2 linked regions of the Bombyx mori genome follow. The protein of the gene in region 1 purifies or fractionates together with the protein of each later gene. This does not show direct contact. Links are inferred from orthologs where the notes say so. Each region holds a gene or a part of one and is shown in the gene's direction. Other genes may lie near its edges. The genes, in order: H/ACA ribonucleoprotein complex non-core subunit NAF1 and H/ACA ribonucleoprotein complex subunit 3.

What was found.
Region 2: the proteins of H/ACA ribonucleoprotein complex non-core subunit NAF1 (region 1) and H/ACA ribonucleoprotein complex subunit 3 purify together in Homo sapiens (co-immunoprecipitation; 6 studies listed by BioGRID and IntAct, with this or other methods). This does not show direct contact. The link is inferred for Bombyx mori from reciprocal best matches to the Homo sapiens genes NAF1 and NOP10.

What each region holds. Positions count from the first base shown.
Region 1 is NC_085109.1:2,565,904-2,576,020, forward strand, and holds H/ACA ribonucleoprotein complex non-core subunit NAF1, read left to right. Parts: upstream 1-3,826; 5' UTR 3,827-4,091; coding exon 4,092-4,468; intron 4,469-4,784; coding exon 4,785-4,942; intron 4,943-6,035; coding exon 6,036-6,142; intron 6,143-7,220; coding exon 7,221-7,357; intron 7,358-8,066; coding exon 8,067-8,562; 3' UTR 8,563-8,877; downstream 8,878-10,117. Other genes in the region: oocyte zinc finger protein XlCOF6, read left to right, coding at 392-536, 1,341-1,466, 2,045-2,239, 2,288-2,410, 2,730-2,873. UniProt on the Homo sapiens protein: RNA-binding protein required for the maturation of box H/ACA snoRNPs complex and ribosome biogenesis.
Region 2 is NC_085131.1:8,619,770-8,629,180, forward strand, and holds H/ACA ribonucleoprotein complex subunit 3, read left to right. Parts: upstream 1-4,795; 5' UTR 4,796-4,928; coding exon 4,929-4,982; intron 4,983-5,052; coding exon 5,053-5,095; intron 5,096-5,665; coding exon 5,666-5,763; 3' UTR 5,764-6,195; downstream 6,196-9,411. UniProt on the Homo sapiens protein: Required for ribosome biogenesis and telomere maintenance. Part of the H/ACA small nucleolar ribonucleoprotein (H/ACA snoRNP) complex, which catalyzes pseudouridylation of rRNA.

The sequences.
Region 1 (10,117 bases):
TCGATTGGTGCCAAGTTAGTGCCCTGTCTAGGTTATATGGTGAATGCGAATGCGCCAAGTCGCTGCCTACCAAAAGTCTTGACAATGATCAATAGTTTGACGCCAAATTAACTTAACCCAACTTAGTCATGACCTTCGTGTTTGTATATAGGATTTAGTGAAATGTGTAACTAACGTGACCAGTGTGCTTGGTGCAAGTTTTTTAACGTTTAACTCAAATTTGTATGGAGTTGGAACGTTTGCCTACGTTTGCCGCTAGGGGCGCTGTTCCAACTGTAAACAAATCTGAGTTGACTTTTACGCGATCGAGAACGTTAAAAAACACGCACTAAGCACTCAGAAGCGAGGTGGGATGTTAGCTATGAACTTTAACTTGTCACGTTCACCGTAGCTCGGCCCCCTCCGATTCGAATACGAATAAAACGTGCAAGATCTGTCTAAAGGAGTACGAACTGCCGTCCGAACTGCTCCGGCACGTGCTGACCGACCACCGCAAGAGGCGGCTCAAGGAAACGTATCCCACGAGTTGTGAACATGTAAGTCATTTTTGTTTTAATGTCATACATACCTTCATCGTGACCTTCATCGTGGAAGTCATTCGTAAACAATTGTCGAGTAACGAGTTCGTATTTCATTGGTACTGGTCCGCGGTCTTCTCGAGTACACTATACGTCGGCTTTTTCAGTAGTAGTAGTTTTGTTTTTCCAAATACAAAGGCAATGATACCATACAGCCTAATCTTTTATATTATTTTTTATGAAAAATGATAATGTGGAGTGAAATGGAATGAAGTTGATTAATTTGAAACATTAATCAATTGGCATGAAATTAAATGAAATGAGATGAGATGACATGGGATAGGATGAAATATAATCTCAGTAAAATGGTGGTTATTTACTGAGACTTTTATTGATTTTTATTTTATTTACTGAGACTGGAGTATTCCGAGAAGTTACGTCCATCGGCTTTATTTCAATTCCCACAACTAATTCGCTAAATTCACAGATACTAAACAGTTAATAAACCACCATTATTACACATTTAAGCCTGAAGAAACACTAAATAGACAAAATAAAACAAACCACATAACTTCGCTCCTCGCTTTCCCGCCAAAAAAGCCTCCGCTTTCTCACTAAATATTTGGTTCGACTTTTACACATGCGGAACCAAGAGGAGATACACTAAACAGTGCGCGTTGAAGAACGAATCTTAAGACAGGTCATATAGTGTTAAATAGAAATGTTATATAGTATCAATATAACATTTCTTCAATAAAGTAATAACATAAAATATTTATGTACATATTTTAATCCACTTATAATGTAAAGATACTATTACAGTGCAACAAAATGGTAAGTAGCCGTCGGGAACATTGGTGGCACACGTATAAGGAACATCCGGAAGAGAAGGACTCGTATAGACGCGTCATCGCCGCCATCTGTGACGTCTGCGGTAAGGGATTCCAGGTATATTCGTACTCTTTGATGAATTTAATTTTTTTGAATTGAAATGAAATGAAAAGAATTTGGAACATTAATCAAATAGCATGAATTAAATTAGTCAATTCAATTGGCAAAATACTAGTCATTTACAATTTAGAAATCTAAACATAATGGGACTGTCAACACTGAGGTTTGAGATTGACATTTGACAGACTTTTGGCGGGAACATATCTTCCTTTTTCCCTTCCTCTAAGTCTCGGAAATCTAAAGTTTTAGATTTGTTTAAATATAAGCAAGACTTATAAATTAGTTCGCCAAAAAAGTTTCACTTCTGACATGTGTACTTTGTACGCACCCACTTTTTTTAAAAGATTTAGACGGTAATTAAGTTCATAATAAGTATTCAAATGTAGTCATTTACACCAGTTGTCCGAGACTACGAAAACTATAAAATATTCGCATCGTCGCAAATAATAAACGTGAGATTAAACCGTAAAAGCAATTTTAATTATATAAAAATAGATACTTAAATAGCATAGTGTTTCTGCTTCTATTAAAACCAAATAAAATAATTAATCGTAACTGATTATTCATTGGAATAGAATAAAACGAAGTTACGTATCCACGAGCTACGTCACGCGTCTCCGTCGGTGCGGTGCGACGAGTGCGGGCGCGCGTTTTACGACAAGTACGCACTGGCGCGGCACGCACACACGCACACGCGGGCGCGTCCGTTCGTGTGCACGCACTGCGGACAGACCTTCACGCTGCGCACCAACCTCAACCGCCACGCCAAGGTGCGTGTTGCTACTCCACTGTACCCTACTGTACTCTACTCACCCTAGCCCACCTACGACAAGTACGCACTGGCGCGGCACGCACACACGCACACGCGGGCGCGTCCGTTCGTGTGCACGCACTGCGGACAGACCTTCACGCTGCGCACCAACCTCAACCGCCACGCCAAGGTGCGTGTTGCTACTCCACTGTACCCTAATGTACTCTACTCACCCTAGCCCACCTACGACAAGTACGCACTGGCGCGGCACGCACACACGCACACGCGGGCGCGTCCGTTCGTGTGCACGCACTGCGGACAGACCTTCACGCTGCGCACCAACCTCAACCGCCACGCCAAGGTGCGTGTTGCTACTCCACTGTACCCTACTGTATTCTACTCACCCTAGCCCACCTACGACAAATACGCACTGGCGCAGCATTCCTATTCCTTATTCCAGCAACTGCAAACACGCCTATTTATGCCAGATCACCACATTCTTATTGCAGGTGCACTCGAATGTGGCAGCATACCAGTGTCCCATGTGCTGCAAGAAGTTCAAGTATTCGACCAGCAGAAACCTACACATCCGCACCGTACACTACAAGCTGCCTACTCCGCCTCGTAAGAAGCGGACCAAAACTTCAGACTAACTAAATAAACAAAGATCCATATTGCATGTATTTAAAATGTTAAGTAAACTATATAAAATAAACGATATTTAACGTAACTACAGTTCAATATAAAATACTGTATTGCATTTTTAAAAACTCCCTTGGTACTTTTATGTCAACGGTATTTCTCTGGCGCTTTGACCTTGCCATAACTAATTTGAAATCGATTTAATAGCGAATCCACTCTAAATTATAGAACATATATACAACAAAGTGGATTAAAAAATTGGATGATAAAAAATTGTAATCAGTTAAAGTAAAACTTAAAGTTTCAAATTTTATAAAAAAAAATTGAATTCGAAAAAATTTACTTGAATTGTGTAGATATGGGAAGCAACGAACCATTCTCACCACATGTACTTACTAGATTACTTACTGAAAAGATTCAACGTTCTGTAAAATTCATGTTATATGTAAGGTATTATAGAAAAAAAAAAAAAAAAAAAAATTTTAATGTGTGCGTAGGTTAATTTGCGCTAAATGCGTTATCAGAAAAATCAATCGCTGGAAAACATATAGAGATGAGGTAAAAACTCGTCCTAGTGCTCCATATCATATCCCAATATCAAGTCTATCCATATCCCAAATCAACAGTTTATTATTTTCGATCGGTTTTAATATTGAAAGAAATGATGAACTTGGTAACAACCTTAGACTAAATTGACTTTAAATCGGACTTCATTTATAAACCCCCGTCGAGTATTTCTCGTAGAACAAGACAACTGTATGTTTGGTTTTAGTCCTTTCAGTGACAGTGATTAATGTGTATATGAATACAACACTTGCCTTTTCATGAAAAACGTATAACTGTACACCTATAACCATTTTTAAAGGTTGATCAATGTCATACGTACGAAAATTTGTTGAGAACTTGGTGATCAAAGACGCTATTAAGCAAAAGTTGGCCATCTCTACTATGACTACCATAGATTATACACTTAATATTTGAGATGATGACTACATCTCTATTTTACACTGTCAATAAAATTGTCAATTGCCTCATTTTTTTGCGATCATATTGTCACGCTTTTTGATTGCATAGAAATATTGGATTTATTACATGTATTTTGTGTCTAAATAGAAGTGCGCGTATGTTCGTAATTTTCTTAATAATGCTAAACTAGTTCCTAATAAAGTATTTGACATACATCTATCATATCGTTAAGTTGTAAGCGTGCAGGAGTGCGAAGTGGAACAATGGAGAACCTCAACAAAAGCAGTAATAAAAACGTGTCATTAAGCTTAATAGCCGAATACGGAGGTTCGGACTCTGATTCTGACGATACAGAGACACGGTCAAACAATACGGGTAACGACTCGGACGCTCCTGAGTTGAGCGAAATGGTGTTAAAGAACAACATAATAAACGCGTGTGCTCACGGACCTCTGTCGAGAACAGATCCTTGCGATGAACAGGTGACCAGACACATGATAATAGACAGTTCAGAACGCGGTATAATGGAGTACGAAGTTACCGAATATAGAGACGCGGACAGTGATTCAAATACAAGCTCTTCCAGTGACTCCAGTGATAGTGAAGTGGATTCTGTGAAGGATGCTGATGCGTCTAGCGGGTAAATACGTTTAATAAGCCTTTTAAGTGTTTACTTTTAGTTTGCTGGTATTACATAAGACCAAAATATATCAAACTCTCATGAACAAAGATGGGAAAGTAAATTGTTATAAAAAAAAAACAGTATTTTTTTCAAGGCCAAGCATGAAATGATTTGTTTGAATATTCCAAAACTAAATAATGAGATTTTTTGAGAGATTCATTGCCATTTTTTTTATTTAAAAATAATATAATTACTCAAAATAGTCAAAACAGAGCTCTTTGTTATTATTTTTGCAACAATAAAGAAACATACCTTGTAACTTATATGATTTTAGAGATGAGTTTGAAGTTAGAAATAATAAGCCAGAAGCACCAAAAGTAAACGGTGAATTAGGACTGGATGACCTCCCACCCATCGAGGACCTTGCCATCAGCTTACCTGCCCAGGAATGCACCAAAATAGGAAAAATTGCCAGCATAGTTGATAGATTAGGTGAGTTTAATAACTTATAATTTAAAATCATTAAATCAAATGTTATATCATTTAGAATTCATTGTTTTATCACAATGAATAGTATCCACAATAATAATTTTTTGTGTATCAGTCCTATGAAGAATAAAATAAATAAATAGATTATATTGTAATTTGTCCCAAGATGGTAGATAACAAAATAGGCATTAATTTAATAAAAATGACTAAAAACAACATGGATTCAATGCTAACAGCTTAACTACAAGTACATTATATGATTGAAAAATAAAAGTAAAATGTAGTTGTGCATGGTCTAGTCAAGTATTTATAATATTTTGGAGCTTTTGAAGCTTGAAGGACATGGTTATATACCTAGGCTTTGAATGTATCATTAACCGTTTCGCTACTAATGGTGACTATTATGTACAATATATACTATGATACTGAAAAGTGATAGTGTAATGGTGCAAATATTTAATTAGCATTTACTGTTTACAGTGTTAGCAGTTACATTTTATAGTTTAGTCTTTTTTTTTTTATTATTTGTGTGGATGCTCATTCTGATGCTTCGGAAAACTTGGCAGTTTTTGGGATCGTGGATCAGATTTTGAGATCATTATTTGTCGGCATTTGAATATTGTGCTAGCTACAAAAATGCTACAATGACAATAAAAAACATGAGACTCAACAGTAAAGGTCCCTTTAAGTGTTTATTTTTCATAAATGTTCATTTTAGTGATTCACTACTGATTGTTGTAATAATTATTAATCAGTGAAGTTGAATATTAATAAATGCTATTAATCATTATTTTAATTATTATTTTCTTAACACTATCTAATTATTGGAATTAATTACAAATGAGGAATTTATTTTAACAATGAGTGAGTAGTGAAGATGGAGTGTTTCCTCACTATAAATTAACTTAAAAAAAGCAACAATAATAATAATATACACATTTTTATAATTCTTGCAAAATGAAAACGCATTTATAAAGATATAAAATGTTTCTACTCATATCATGGCATCTAAGAGTTTCATTAATACTTATTAAACTACTCCCAGACAGGGTGTGCAAAAGAAAAAACAATATTATAAAATTGTTTGTTGTATCAGTTATAGTTCAAGCATTTCCGGAGACACCTGCAGTGGACATAGAGAGCGTACTTTTTGTGGAAAACGGAGCAAAGGCACTTGGCAAAGTTTTTGATGTATTTGGACCTGTGAGTATCCATACTTAATATTATTACTTAATACAAATGTGAGGGGGTGTTTTTTGTCTATCTTTCATTTCGTAATGAAGCAACACACCGATATATAATTCAAAGTGATAATATTAGAGATAGATAGAATAAAGTGACATAGCCTACCTTTTAACCCAACAAAATATCTCATTCCCCTGAGAAACTATACTTGCTCCTTAAGCATGCAGACGACGGTGAGGGTAGCACCTAGTTTTTTTAGTTACTATGTTAGTTAGTTTTTATTTTTAATTACTATGTTGTATAAAGTATGAAATTTGATTTTAGGTCTAGTAACCCCATAATTTTAAAACACATATGAGGCTTTTCTGTAGTTTAAATCTATGTAAAATAGAATAAATGTAGTGTCCAGTGCAAACTTCATAGGTATAATAAACATAATTGTAATGAAAATTTTATTAAATGTTTATTTGGCATACAATTAAGGTTATATCTTCTAAATTATATCTGCAATACACTATTTGGCCATAATCCAAAAATACTTCAGTGACCCTATGTATATTTCACATCCAATATCATTTGGCTCTGAAAACGCATTAAAATGTTATTAAAAAGGAATTAATACATAGCTTATGGAAATTTGTCTACATTTTTATTATTTGGAATAATACAGTGGTGAAAGATTTGAACTGTCCTATTTTTTTTTTGTTTATGGTAAATATATATATACTGTTATATAAATGTGACTGGCGGCTTACTAATTTAAATATCCTATACCGTATTCTTTGCCTGTGTGATTATATCAATGTTTTAAAATTACTGGTGGTAGGACCTCTTGGGAGTCCGCGCGGGTAGGTACCACCACCCTGCCTATTTCTGCCATGAAGCAGTAATGCTTTTCTGTTTGAAGGGTGGGGCAGCCGTTGTAACTATACTGAGACCTTAGAACTTATATCTCAAGGCGGGTGGCGCATTTACGTGGTAGATGTCTATCTGTGGATTCCAGTAACCACTTAACACCAGGTGGGCTGTGAGCTCGTCCACCTATCTAAGCAAAAAAAAATATGTTTAGTATGTTTTTTTTTTTGTTAATTTTCAGATAACGGAGCCGCACTATTGCGTCCGGTTCAACTCACTCGATCACGTCAAAGAACGAGGCGTACAAACCGGGATGGAAGTATTCATCGCGCCAAAAAGCCAACACACTAATTACGTATTTATATCAGAACTGATGAAGTGAGTTTGTATTTGAAACTTGTTTGCAGGGTTTTTTATTTATTAATTATCGTCAAACCAACTACGAAACCAAATTAACTGTTACCTTAAAAGAACATAACACATTAATTAGTTTTCATAAATAGTGTATTTCTGACACACAGTAAAGTCAACTAGCATAAGGCCCTCCCGTTGTCTCGACACCACAGATCCCCGGGTCCGTTGAACTTTCATTAGTGCTACTTTGCCATTTTTAGTGCCATCATAACATTAGGTTTTTTTTTATTCCTACTTAAGCTGATAGCCTTGAGAGGCTATATCAGCGTAGCCTTAGCTAGTAGGTGAGCTCACGGGGCTCAAACCTGACGACGTTGCTAACACGAACCCTAGCAATAGCCGTGCTTCGCAGAATCTACCACCGGATCGGAAACGCGATCGATCCACTGAAAAGATCCGGCGAGAAACTCAGTGGGCTGTGTCTGAGGGTTAATTTACTCGTCGAGCCCTTCGTCGCAAGCGACGGGTTCGACGAGAACGATGACCGCTGCTTGTGGTACCGAAAGCACCGTTAGTGGATCGGGAGGATCCGAAATGACGTGTTTGGGGCGACGTCGACTGCTTTCCATTATGTCCGCAGGATCGGGAATGTAGTTACCGGCTTTATCGAAGTGTAACATTAGTAATCGGAGATCATTATATCAAATTTATTTTTCTTTCTTCTTCCTTCCAGAGTGAGAGGCTGTGACGCTTCTTGGCTGAACGACATCGAGCCGCCGCCTAGTCACATCGACTACTCCGACGACGAAGAGGAGCGCAGGGCGGCGCGGGCTCGCAAGACGAAAAACAAAGAAGACGAGAACACTCAGAACGACGGAGAAACGTCCCGGAACGTTCGGAAACCGGTCGAGAGACGGAACCAGAGGCCTTCGGAGTGGAATAGCAGATTCGGTAGCGGGCCGAGCAGAGGTCGCAATCCTTTCGCGCTCGGGTCCAGGCGCCACGGCAGACCTCCCCCTCTCTCTGCAGACGGATCGGCTTTCATCCCTCCCTTCAACCCGAACACCCCGCCCCCCTATAACCCGGCAGCGCCCCCTCCGTTCTCAAGCCTGTTCCAGTTCGGAAGCTCTCCGCGCCTGCACAGTCCCTTCCGCACCAACGCTCCGGTGTTCATGTCCACCCCGGGTCCGCACTGGCTCACCCGCCCCCCTCCCCCACCCGGAACTTAATGCGGCCGCGTACAACGATTTAGGTTTTAATCTCTGTAATTATCAATACACAATTTGGGTAACCTTGACCTCTTCGTGAGAGAGGTTGTTCCAGAGAAATTTGAAAACGCTTTCCAGTAGGAATATTCTGTTGGATAAATAAATGCGCGTACTGTATATCCGAGGTCGAGCGGCCAACGTTCCCTGCGAGGTCAAAGTTACACATGTTGATTACAATTAGTTTACTACGGTTATCGCAGTTATTGTTTAACAATACTGAACGTGTGGTTATCCAAAAATTATATTTATACTATAATAAATATGATACCTCATTCAGCCATCGGTTTTATTTGCTTTTATTCTGTTAAAAATTAAGTCGATCCTTGGAAGAGTTTTCAAACGCTTGGGCGTACAAAACGATGCAAAAATATGTTAAAACTTTTTAAGACAGTTAATAGGATTAGTGGACTATTAGTGATCTGTGTTGAAATTGCAGTTTTAACTAAATAGCATAATTAAGGTAAAGTAACGCAAACTCTCAAAATATACACTGGTACACAGTAAGAAAACCGAAAACCGAAAACTGAATACTGTGGCAGGTATATCTTTAGCAAGTGAAGGATACCACAGATCGCTCTTGAGCCTAGTTTAGGGCAATCCTAAACTTGACACTTTATATATCATTGTTTTCAGTATGGCAACACAAGTCGTTGCAGTTGCACAAAAAATTCTGGTCGTAATTGCACGGTTCTTTATTCTATGTATACAATACCGTCTTTACCATAAGGGTACACGTGGCCCTTATCCAGAGCCCTCATTCTCAGGGGGCCCCGAAAGACCGACAATTTCTCTCACACGTTTATTCTCAAAACATTTTTGTCGGGCACATTACACTTTTTTCATAAATCAGTAATCACAAGGCATATACTATGCCTATAATACAAGATTTTGCTCAGCAGAAATCCCGAAAGAAACCGTTATCGAAATCGTAACCAAAAAACCAGCAGCATTCTAATATCATTAATGACATATTATATTCTATTTGATTACCTATAATAAATGGTCATACTCAGTAAAAAAATGTTATTATAATTCGCTTTTTTTACTTTCCAAAAGGGCCTCAAATTCTTGTGTGCCCAAGGGCCCCATCCTAGTTTAAGACGTCCCGGTATGTACATTAAGAGAATTAAAAATCCTTCGCTCTGAATCAAGTTTTTATTGAAGCTAGCACTAAATACAGTCCACGCTCGAAATTAATACCAGCTACCTACTTCTATTGGATTCTACTGGACTGTTGATAGTCCCCTTCTCAATCGTTCGGGTACTTCAGTTCTCGTATGTTCTATGGAAAGTGCTCTGAGGAATTGTTTGAGATGATATAATATCTTCCTTGTTTTATCGCTCCCGCCGCCAGAGATGGGTTCATCAATACCAGTTCGAACCGCTGCGTTGATCTACAAGAAGTTTCCAGAGATAGTATTTGCCATGCTCCATCTGGCTTTTGGAATGATGGTGTTTCTCTAGGGCTTGGCCAGGAGGAGAGTTCTCAAGGGCTTTACTGTATTCTTGTTATTGC
Region 2 (9,411 bases), on another chromosome or scaffold:
CTATTACATAAGGTACTAGGAAGTTTGTGAAAATGAAAATTTATCACAGTGTAATATCACTTACTTACTTTAACAGTGAAGGAAAACATTGTGATGAAACCTGCATACCTAAATGTTCTTAGGATTTTCTTAGGTGTGTAATCCACCAACCAGCACTAGGCCAGCGTGGTGGACTAAGGCCTAAAAACCCTCTCAATGGTAGTGAAGGCCAGTGTCCAGCAAGGGGATATATTATATGGGCTGATGATGATGAAGTTAGGAAGTTAAATACTACTACTACTACTACGACAGTACACATATAATCCTATATATTTACAAACTATACGTTTGTTGGAAATTGCTAACATTATTTCATATTTCCAGATGTCCAGCCACTTGAAAATAGGTGTAGTAATGACAAAGCTATCCAAGTAGCTCCAGCACAGTAACACAAAGGCAAGGCAAGTGTGTATTGCCACATCACCCCTTAATATATCTGAAGCAAGTATAAGTAAACAATCAGAACCAGCAAAAAAAAAACTGTTGTTCCTGAGGACAAATTTGACAGTGACGAGTCAAATGCACCAGCAACAGAAGGATCAACTGTTGACTATGGGTTATAGAAGAAGAAGATGAATTCATATTTATTTAAATTAATATTAATGAATATTAATTTAAATTATCGTGCAAAATTCGTGGTCAAAACATATGTGTATTTTATAAATAAATATTCATTCTCAGCAAAAGAAGGATCAACTGTTGACTATGAGTTATCTCTCTATATCTCCACTCCATCAAAGACTTGTGCACTTCAGACTATAGCTCTCAAGAAGACTAAAAAGTTGAAAAAATGAATGTGTTAACAACTTTATCTAAAGTGAAAAATAAACAACGTTTATATATTGGTCTTCCACAAGAATTATGTTTCATAATAGGCTTGATTGAGAAACATACAAATGTTTCTGAACAAAATATTATATTATGTCTGATGAGAATAACATTAAATAGAACATTCTCTCAATTGGCTGATGATTTCGATTTATCTGTAAGTCAAGCAAGCAATATATATATATATAATATATTTTTCAACAAACTCCCAGAAATTGCAAATGTAATATCACCCCTTGTTAGACTATAAAAAAAACAATACAATAATTATATATGCAGGAAGGATAATTGATGTCAACTTGGTGGAAAATAGAAAGTTTTTAGATAGTTTGCCACCTACAAAACTCTTTAATTAAATAATAAAGTAATCCTTACTTATAAATAGGAAGTTTTGTAAGTATTTTCACTCTTCATTCAAAAACTACTGAACAGATTTTAATAAGACTTTTATGCTGGTCTTCTATGGCTAGCAACTCATTATTATTTTGATTCTGTTTTCCACAAATGTGCTAAATATGGGCTTATATATATGAAAAGGAATAAAAATTAATGTTATGTAACCTTTGTACCTGTATGTTAAGAATAATTTTTAATAAAACATAATTTAAATTGAAATATTATTTTTATTAAATGACATTCACTTTGTACACATCAATATTTTGTACTCCCTAAAAGGAAAATAGGTATAAAGTTTTTTTTAAATATTTAACATTACATTTTTGTGTAAGATTAGAAAATTGTTATTCTTCCAAAAAGAAACTACATTATCTAACAACTGTGCAACTTACTCAGAATCAAAATCAATACCTACTAATTATAGTGACCTGATTAGTTTTTTCAAAGTTGCTGGATGCTACACAAAAGTAGCAAGTTTTACTTTTAGCACAATACATATGCATTTGAACTTGTGCATAATATCTTTCTTTAATTTTTTTTTGCCTTTTTATTTATGGAAACATAGCATTACTCACTTGCTTGTTTGTAGATCTATCAAAAAAACATAATTTATGTTTTTTTTTTAACACAGTGGGCAATACCCTATTATTCATATTAATTATATACGGCGGGGCGATGCGAAAATTCATTACTGAATTATTTAAGAATGATAGGCATAATATAATATTTTAATTCGCGATCTGTTTATTTTTAATTTTGTGATTTATGGGGTGGTCACAGTCATTATTATAAAAATAGACATTTTGAGGAAATATAAATGTTTAATACAAATTATTTTGATAATCGAAATAAATTCATATCAATCCAAATTCATATTTGAACTATGAAAATTGTATGGTATGTAAACAGAAATATATTTTATAATTATAATGACTATTTATTCCATGCAGTATCGGTTACAGAAGCTTGCACAGCTTCTCTAACCGACACTGCAACTAGAATAAAGTCTAATAAAGAATAAGAATAAACTTTTCTTCGAAGCTCAATTCTACAAGGGTATTCAATCAGATAGCTATCTATCTGTCGTTCCTGTATGAAACTTTGGTATGTCGAAATCTTGGATAAATCCAGCAAAGCTAAATAAAGTATTTACCTAAAAAATATGTTTATGCTTAAAGTCACGTGTTTATGTTATTCGAAAGTATTAAGCTCCAAGCAGCATTTAGCTCCAACTAAATTCATTAAGAACCAATTTTTCAATCGATGATTAAAACAACATTAATACTGAGAATGAATATTTATTTATAAAATACACATATGTTTTGACCACGAATTTTGCACGATAATTTAAATTAATATTCATTAATATTAATTTAAATAAATATGAATTCATCTTCTTCTTCTATAACCCATAGTCAACAGTTGATCCTTCTGTTGCTGGTGCATTTGACTCATCACTGTCAAATTTGTCCTCAGGAACAACAGTTTTTTTTTTTGCTGGTTCTGATTGTTTACTTATACTTGCTTCAGATATATTAAGGGGTGATGTGGCAATACACACTTGCCTTGCCTTTGTGTTCCTGTGCTGGAGCTACTTGGATAGCTTTGTCATTACTACACCTATTTTCAAGTGGCTGGACATCTGGAAATATGAAATAATGTTAGCAATTTCCAACAAACGTATAGTTTGTAAATATATAGGATTATATGTGTACTGTCGTAGTAGTAGTAGTAGTATTTAACTTCCTAGTCATCATCATCAGCCCATATAATATATCCCCTTGCTGGACACTGGCCTTCACTACCATTGAGAGGGTTTTTAGGCCTTAGTCCACCACGCTGGCCTAGTGCTGGTTGGTGGATTACACACCTAAGAAAATCCTAAGAACATTTAGGTGTGCAGGTTTCATCACAATGTTTTCCTTCACTGTTAAAGTAAGTAAGTGATATTACACTGTGATAAATTTTCATTTTCACAAACTTCCTAGTACCTTATGTAATAGGAACTGAGATCCACTTGCCCATTTTGGCTACTTCCACTAACTAACTAACTATTCTCATTTTTTCTGATATTGTTATTTGATTAGGAGATCTGTGAGTGTAACTAATTATTGACAGTTACACCTACCTTGACTACAAGATGGCAAAGGTATAATAATACGACACATCTCATTTTTAGTCGTCTCTTCAATTTCCTTGATAATAGTGAGTCTTTGCCGTTTCACAAATGCAGGCCGAGGTTCACTATGAGTGAATTTTCGTTTTCTATCTGCCCGACAATCGAATTTGGATGGTAAACAGTTTGGTTTCATTCGAATTCATTTAATGGAGCTCATTATCTTGTATTGCATATAATTCTCCATGTAGTTTTCCAGCTAAAACATGAAATAATTTTCCAACAATTTCAATACATAACCTATAAAAAAAATATTAAAATGTTATATTACTAATGTTAGGAATATAATTTCGACTGTGTCAAAATGTTATTATAATGTATACCTACATTATCTCTTGAAAGATAAATAATAAACATATTTACTTATTTGTTTATATTACCTATGTGAACTCTTAACCTATCTTTTTTATATCTTCATAGCGATAGGTATATAGGAGGATGGAAAAAATGTATTTGGTCTAACTTTACGCGAATGCACATTATTTTATTTATTTATTTTTTAATTTTTTTAATTAAACTGTATACCAATTAATCGATCCTTCAGGATTTATAATTGTTTTTTTTTTCACGATTAAAACCGCGTAGAAAGTTTAGGCATTATAGTTGACGCATGCGCCATAGATTATACACTTATGGCATGCGCAGTACACATATTTTGTATACATTTATTCAACTAATACAATTAATTAAACAAAAAATGAGTAATTTCGAAAGAGAACAAACGTATTTTATATAAGAACAATCGAAAATGAATATTTACGAGTAATTAAGGACGAAAAAATTTTAAAAATTGCAATCGAGGGGCTAACTTTTAGATATATTTTTAATATATTTTTTAAAATAAATAAATGGGGAACAAACAATTATTAACAATGAACAATCAAGAACAAATGATGAACAAACGAATTAATAGAAAATAAGTAGAAAACAGGAAAAAAAATTTTTTTTGAGGGGCTAACTTCATTCACCCTGATTTTATGGTAAATTATGGTCAATTGTCCTACTCTGTGGTTTAAACATAGATTATACATTTGTCATTTATATAAACTCAAAGACACAAAAACATAGATTCCACCGGTCACCGTTCTCGTCGAACCCGTCGCTTGCGACGAAGGGCTCGACGAGTAAATTAACTCTCAGACACAGCCCACTGAGTTTCTCGCCGGATCTTCTCAGTGGGTCGCGTTTCCGATCCGGTGGTAGATTCTGCGAAGCACGACTCTTGCTAGGGTTCGTGTTAGCAACATCGTCAGGTTTGAGCCCCGTGAGCTCACCTACTAAAGTTAAGGCTACGCTGAAATAGCCGCTAGGGCTATCAGCTTAGGTAGGGAAAAAAAAAAAAAAAAAAAACATAGATTATACACTTAATATATTTGAGACACAAAAACACTGAACAGTAAACACGAGGAATTACTGGATTACCACATACAAATAAAATAGCGCTAAATTAGTTGTAGTTTTTGTTATTTGCATTTTTAATAACATTAAAATGTATCTCAGGTATTACTTAAACGATAAAGGCGATAGAGAGTACACATTAGCGGTAAGTATTGTACTGTAACCTCGTCAACATGTGTTTAATTATTCTATCAATAATCTTTTTACTTTCTCAGACCATCGACCCATTTGGAAAACCAACATTGTCAGCACATCCAGGTAAATAACATCATCAAGTATGGTTTATTAGTGATTAATCGTTGTTTTCAAAAGTTAGAAGGTTATGTATGTTTTCCTAATAGGTAATGCATAACAGTGTTTTATAGTGGAAATAAGCTGTAAATGCTTGAGATATATTTAATCTAGTTAATATAGAAGACTAAGACAATAATATGGTTTATGAACTAAAAACAATTTGCTTCAATTATCTTTTATCCTGTACTGGTATTTATTAGGCCAAAGTAATAAAATTATTGACTGCTTTTAATATAATGTCATTTTTGTCAACCATCGAAACTGATTGTTTACGTTGGATAACAACCACCTTGACAAGCCTTGAAAGGTTTTCGGCCAAAAATCATCCTCTTATCCTAAAAAATCATGTTAGACGTTATCCCTGAATCTCACAATCTTATCATGTATTAATTATTGAAGATGGTGAAAATTACAATTGGAGATTCCATCTGATATATGCTAATGAAATCAAATTTAAAAAAAAGCAAAAAACAATCTCACATCTACAAAATAACAGGCTAATTTACTTCAATAATCCAATTGTTTTTATTGCAGCTCGTTTTTCTCCTGAAGACAAATACTCAAGACACAGAATAATAATCAAGAAGAGATTTGGCCTGCTGCTTACACAACAACCTGAACCTATTCATTAAAATAAATATTGATTTGTATTGAAAATTACCAAAATGGTCTAAATTTTGATACATTTTAACAATTCTTTTCAAAATCTAAGGCACACAGGATTTAGCATACAACAGAACACAAATGGTCTTACAAAATATATTACTTTATTATGACTTGCTCTTCCTTTTTCTAATGATTTTCATCTGATTGTGGTAATCCTAGGCTACCCCACTGGTACATAGGGCCCTTACAAGTTTTCTCCATTTGACCTTGCTCCTTGACATCATTCCAAGTCATGGTGGCAGTACTCATCTCACTCTCCACAGTGTGTCGAGAAGTATGTAAAGGATAACCAGGCTATAAATTTAATATAATTTATTTTTTATTACAATATCTCTTCTTATGATTATGTAAAATGAATGCAGTTTCAAAATATATGTTGTAATATAGTCGTAATGTTATGTGTGCTTTTATTATTTATAGCTACTATAAAGCAAGTCTTGATAGTTCCGTATATACACCAATTTCCTTCATGGACAATCGAGCCATGACTGATAAATGGGCTCTAACCTGGAGAGTATTAGCATGTGTTACAGTATCTGCCTCAGATAAAAATGGCCATGGCTGTGCCAGGAAATTTTATACAGTGAATATACTCAATCTGAAAAAATATATCTTGGTTACTAAAAAGTGATTATGTAGGCAGTATTTCTGAAGTTTATCTCTAGCTAAACATCCAGTAAACCATCTGCTAAATATGTTCACAAGAACACAGCAATGTGCCACAACTCCCTTTAGTATTTGGACAAGTTGAATAAAGTGTAGTGTCTAATAATGGCATTACAATTAATTTTAGTAGATTTCCTTGATGATAGAGTTTGACTTCTGAGGCTATCCACGGATTTAGTTACCCTTTGATGTGTGCATTTTTTATATGATTGAAGGATTACTGGTGCCCTGTAGGCCTTTCCAGTTTCACCAGGGCAGGGCATATGAGAACTGCTAGTCAGTCAGACCTTCAAAGAGATACCTAATAATCAGATGACATAACATCTGGAGTATATGGCGGGTAGGGTATGGCATCTCATCTGAATGTTTTCAAGTATTTTAACGGTTTTCGCAAGGTATGCCCGAGCATCATTGTCTTGCAAGAGAATCACTTTATCGTGCCTCGGGTCGTATTGTGTAGACATGTGTAAGTAATGCGAGTGATATTACTCGGGTAATATTACTCTACGATGTAATGCAACATCACACATTACGCGAAGGAAACAAACATCACACTATCACCCAACATGTTTCTTTCTTTGTCGTGTAATGTTGCTTAATACATGAACGGAACAGAGCGAGCGAGACAGACCGATAGACGCAAAATAAATGAGCAAGCGACACGGAATTATTCCTAGTGATTTTGAACCGTATGTCCTGGCCGCTAGGTACATTTTTATACCTATGGTACGTCTGAATTTTAATATAGGTATTTGTGTTTATATTTTTCATGCGCCCAGCCGGTAGTTCCCCGCAAGTACTTACTTAATTTTTTATTCGCAACTTTTGTAAAATCGCTAGTCGCTCGTAATTGTTTAGTAATATTTCATAATAATTTTTGTGTTTGATTTGAATTACTTAAGCACTTGTTTGAAGATAGTTTAATTATTTGTTTTAATGCGTGTTTAATAAGTGAAAGAAAGAATGGCGTCTAAATGAAAGTACAGTCCTCCTTGGATGCACTTTGAGGATATCGCGCCGAAACAATGCATCTACTGCTCTCGTATATTAACATTATTGTCGAGCTCAATTTGCAGTCTAAGTCGCCATATGAAATCCGTTCATCCCACAATAAATTATATTAAGTAAAAAATAAAATTATTATATTATTAAGTAAGTCAATCTCTGTCAAGTAATATAACAGTGTATTACAATGCAAAGTTCATACTTTGTATTGTAATACACTACTGTAATGACACACCCGAATCATTACCTAAGTGATGTGTATCAACACATCACTTAGGTAATGATTCGGGTGTATAGATACAATGCATTCGTCGTCACAGTATCTATTGAACGCACCGAGTAATGTTAAGAGTGATGTGTAATATTTTCGAGTAATATCACCTGTCTGTAAAAGTGATGTCATATCACATTACATTGGGAAGTGATGTTTTGCGCAAGTCTAGTATTGTGGCCGTTTTTATAATGTTTCAGATCAAAATCGATGAACCATCTATTGACAATCAGAGAGAACTTAGTTGCGTTTCTAACATGGGTAGTCTATTTTGTGTTCACGAAATCGATTATATTAATATATGATACGATTGTGAGATTCAGGTCTAACATGTTTTTTGCGTCTAAACTATACACGCGAGCAAAAGTTTGGAATCACTTACTTGAAATTGGTTCCGTGCGATCTTGCTTACTAAATAAATTTGTAATTATTATAAAAGTCACATCATTTTAAAGGTTCAACTGTCAACTTTAAATTGATACCAAATTCATTCAAATCGAGCCAGTAGTTAAGGAGCTATTTCGGATTAAGTGAAGGAGGTAGGAAACAAAGGAAATATGGAAAAATAATGAATGAGTAGAACAACAAAAATAAATAAATAAAATTTTTATTTAGCCTTAAAATTAAATGTCAGTACTTTGTGTAAGGTTTATGATTATTTATATTAATATGATTATATAGAGTGTAAGGTTTCTGATTATTTATATGATTATATAGAGTCCTGTACATATTAAGAATTATTATTAAATATGAGGTTTATATTGCAAACCATTAAAATATTGTTAAGTTATAAATTCAACAGTTGACAAATGTCGTCAATAGATGTCACAGGCTAACAAAATTACATCGCGGTAGCGTTGTGTGTAAAAATTTGTATAAGAAGTCCAAAGTAATTATGAATAAATCAAGAACCAAACGCATCAATGTAAAATTGGCAGATTAAAGCAAAGTGTGAACAAAGTTAGCCTGTTTAATTTATATGTCTGACACCCAAAAGGTCAGAAGCGGGATAAATAAGGCTCTAGAAAACTAACCTTACTACGCCCACGGATCGGTAAAACGTAAGTTATTATTAATTATTTACATCTGATTCAGTGATATTGAAAATTCTGATGGTTGTGATTTTTTTTTTTTTTATATGAATTTTCTTTGTCTTGTTCCTCTTCATAATACAAACCCGCACTGAGTCATTTTTTATTATTGCCTTGTAACCGATCAGTGCAAGCGCACTGAACAATCGACCACGTAATGATCACATGTGCGTTGGGTTGAATAAACCAATGACGAAGAACCAATGAAGAAATCAATGACGATTATAACTTTGACTTAATATAAGTAATTAAACTTAAAACAACAAATTCATTCTACCCACCTGCCGTTTTATTTACATGGTGACGAAAAAGTTAAGGGTTTTATAGGCTCTATTAGAATCTAACGACACTCGTTATTGCATTGGTTTAAATGTTTACATAAATATATTAGAGTGCGTCAGGTCTTTGGAAATACATGATTTTCGATGAATGCACATGCATAATAAAGTTTATTTTCTTTTCTGTTCCCCGTTCCACGAGGAGTCCTCTTCTAGCTTTTCGGAATGTACCCGATATTATGCCATTTAAATTACCCTATTCTACTTTTTGCAATTATTAAACCCGGTTAAAGCAGTTTATAA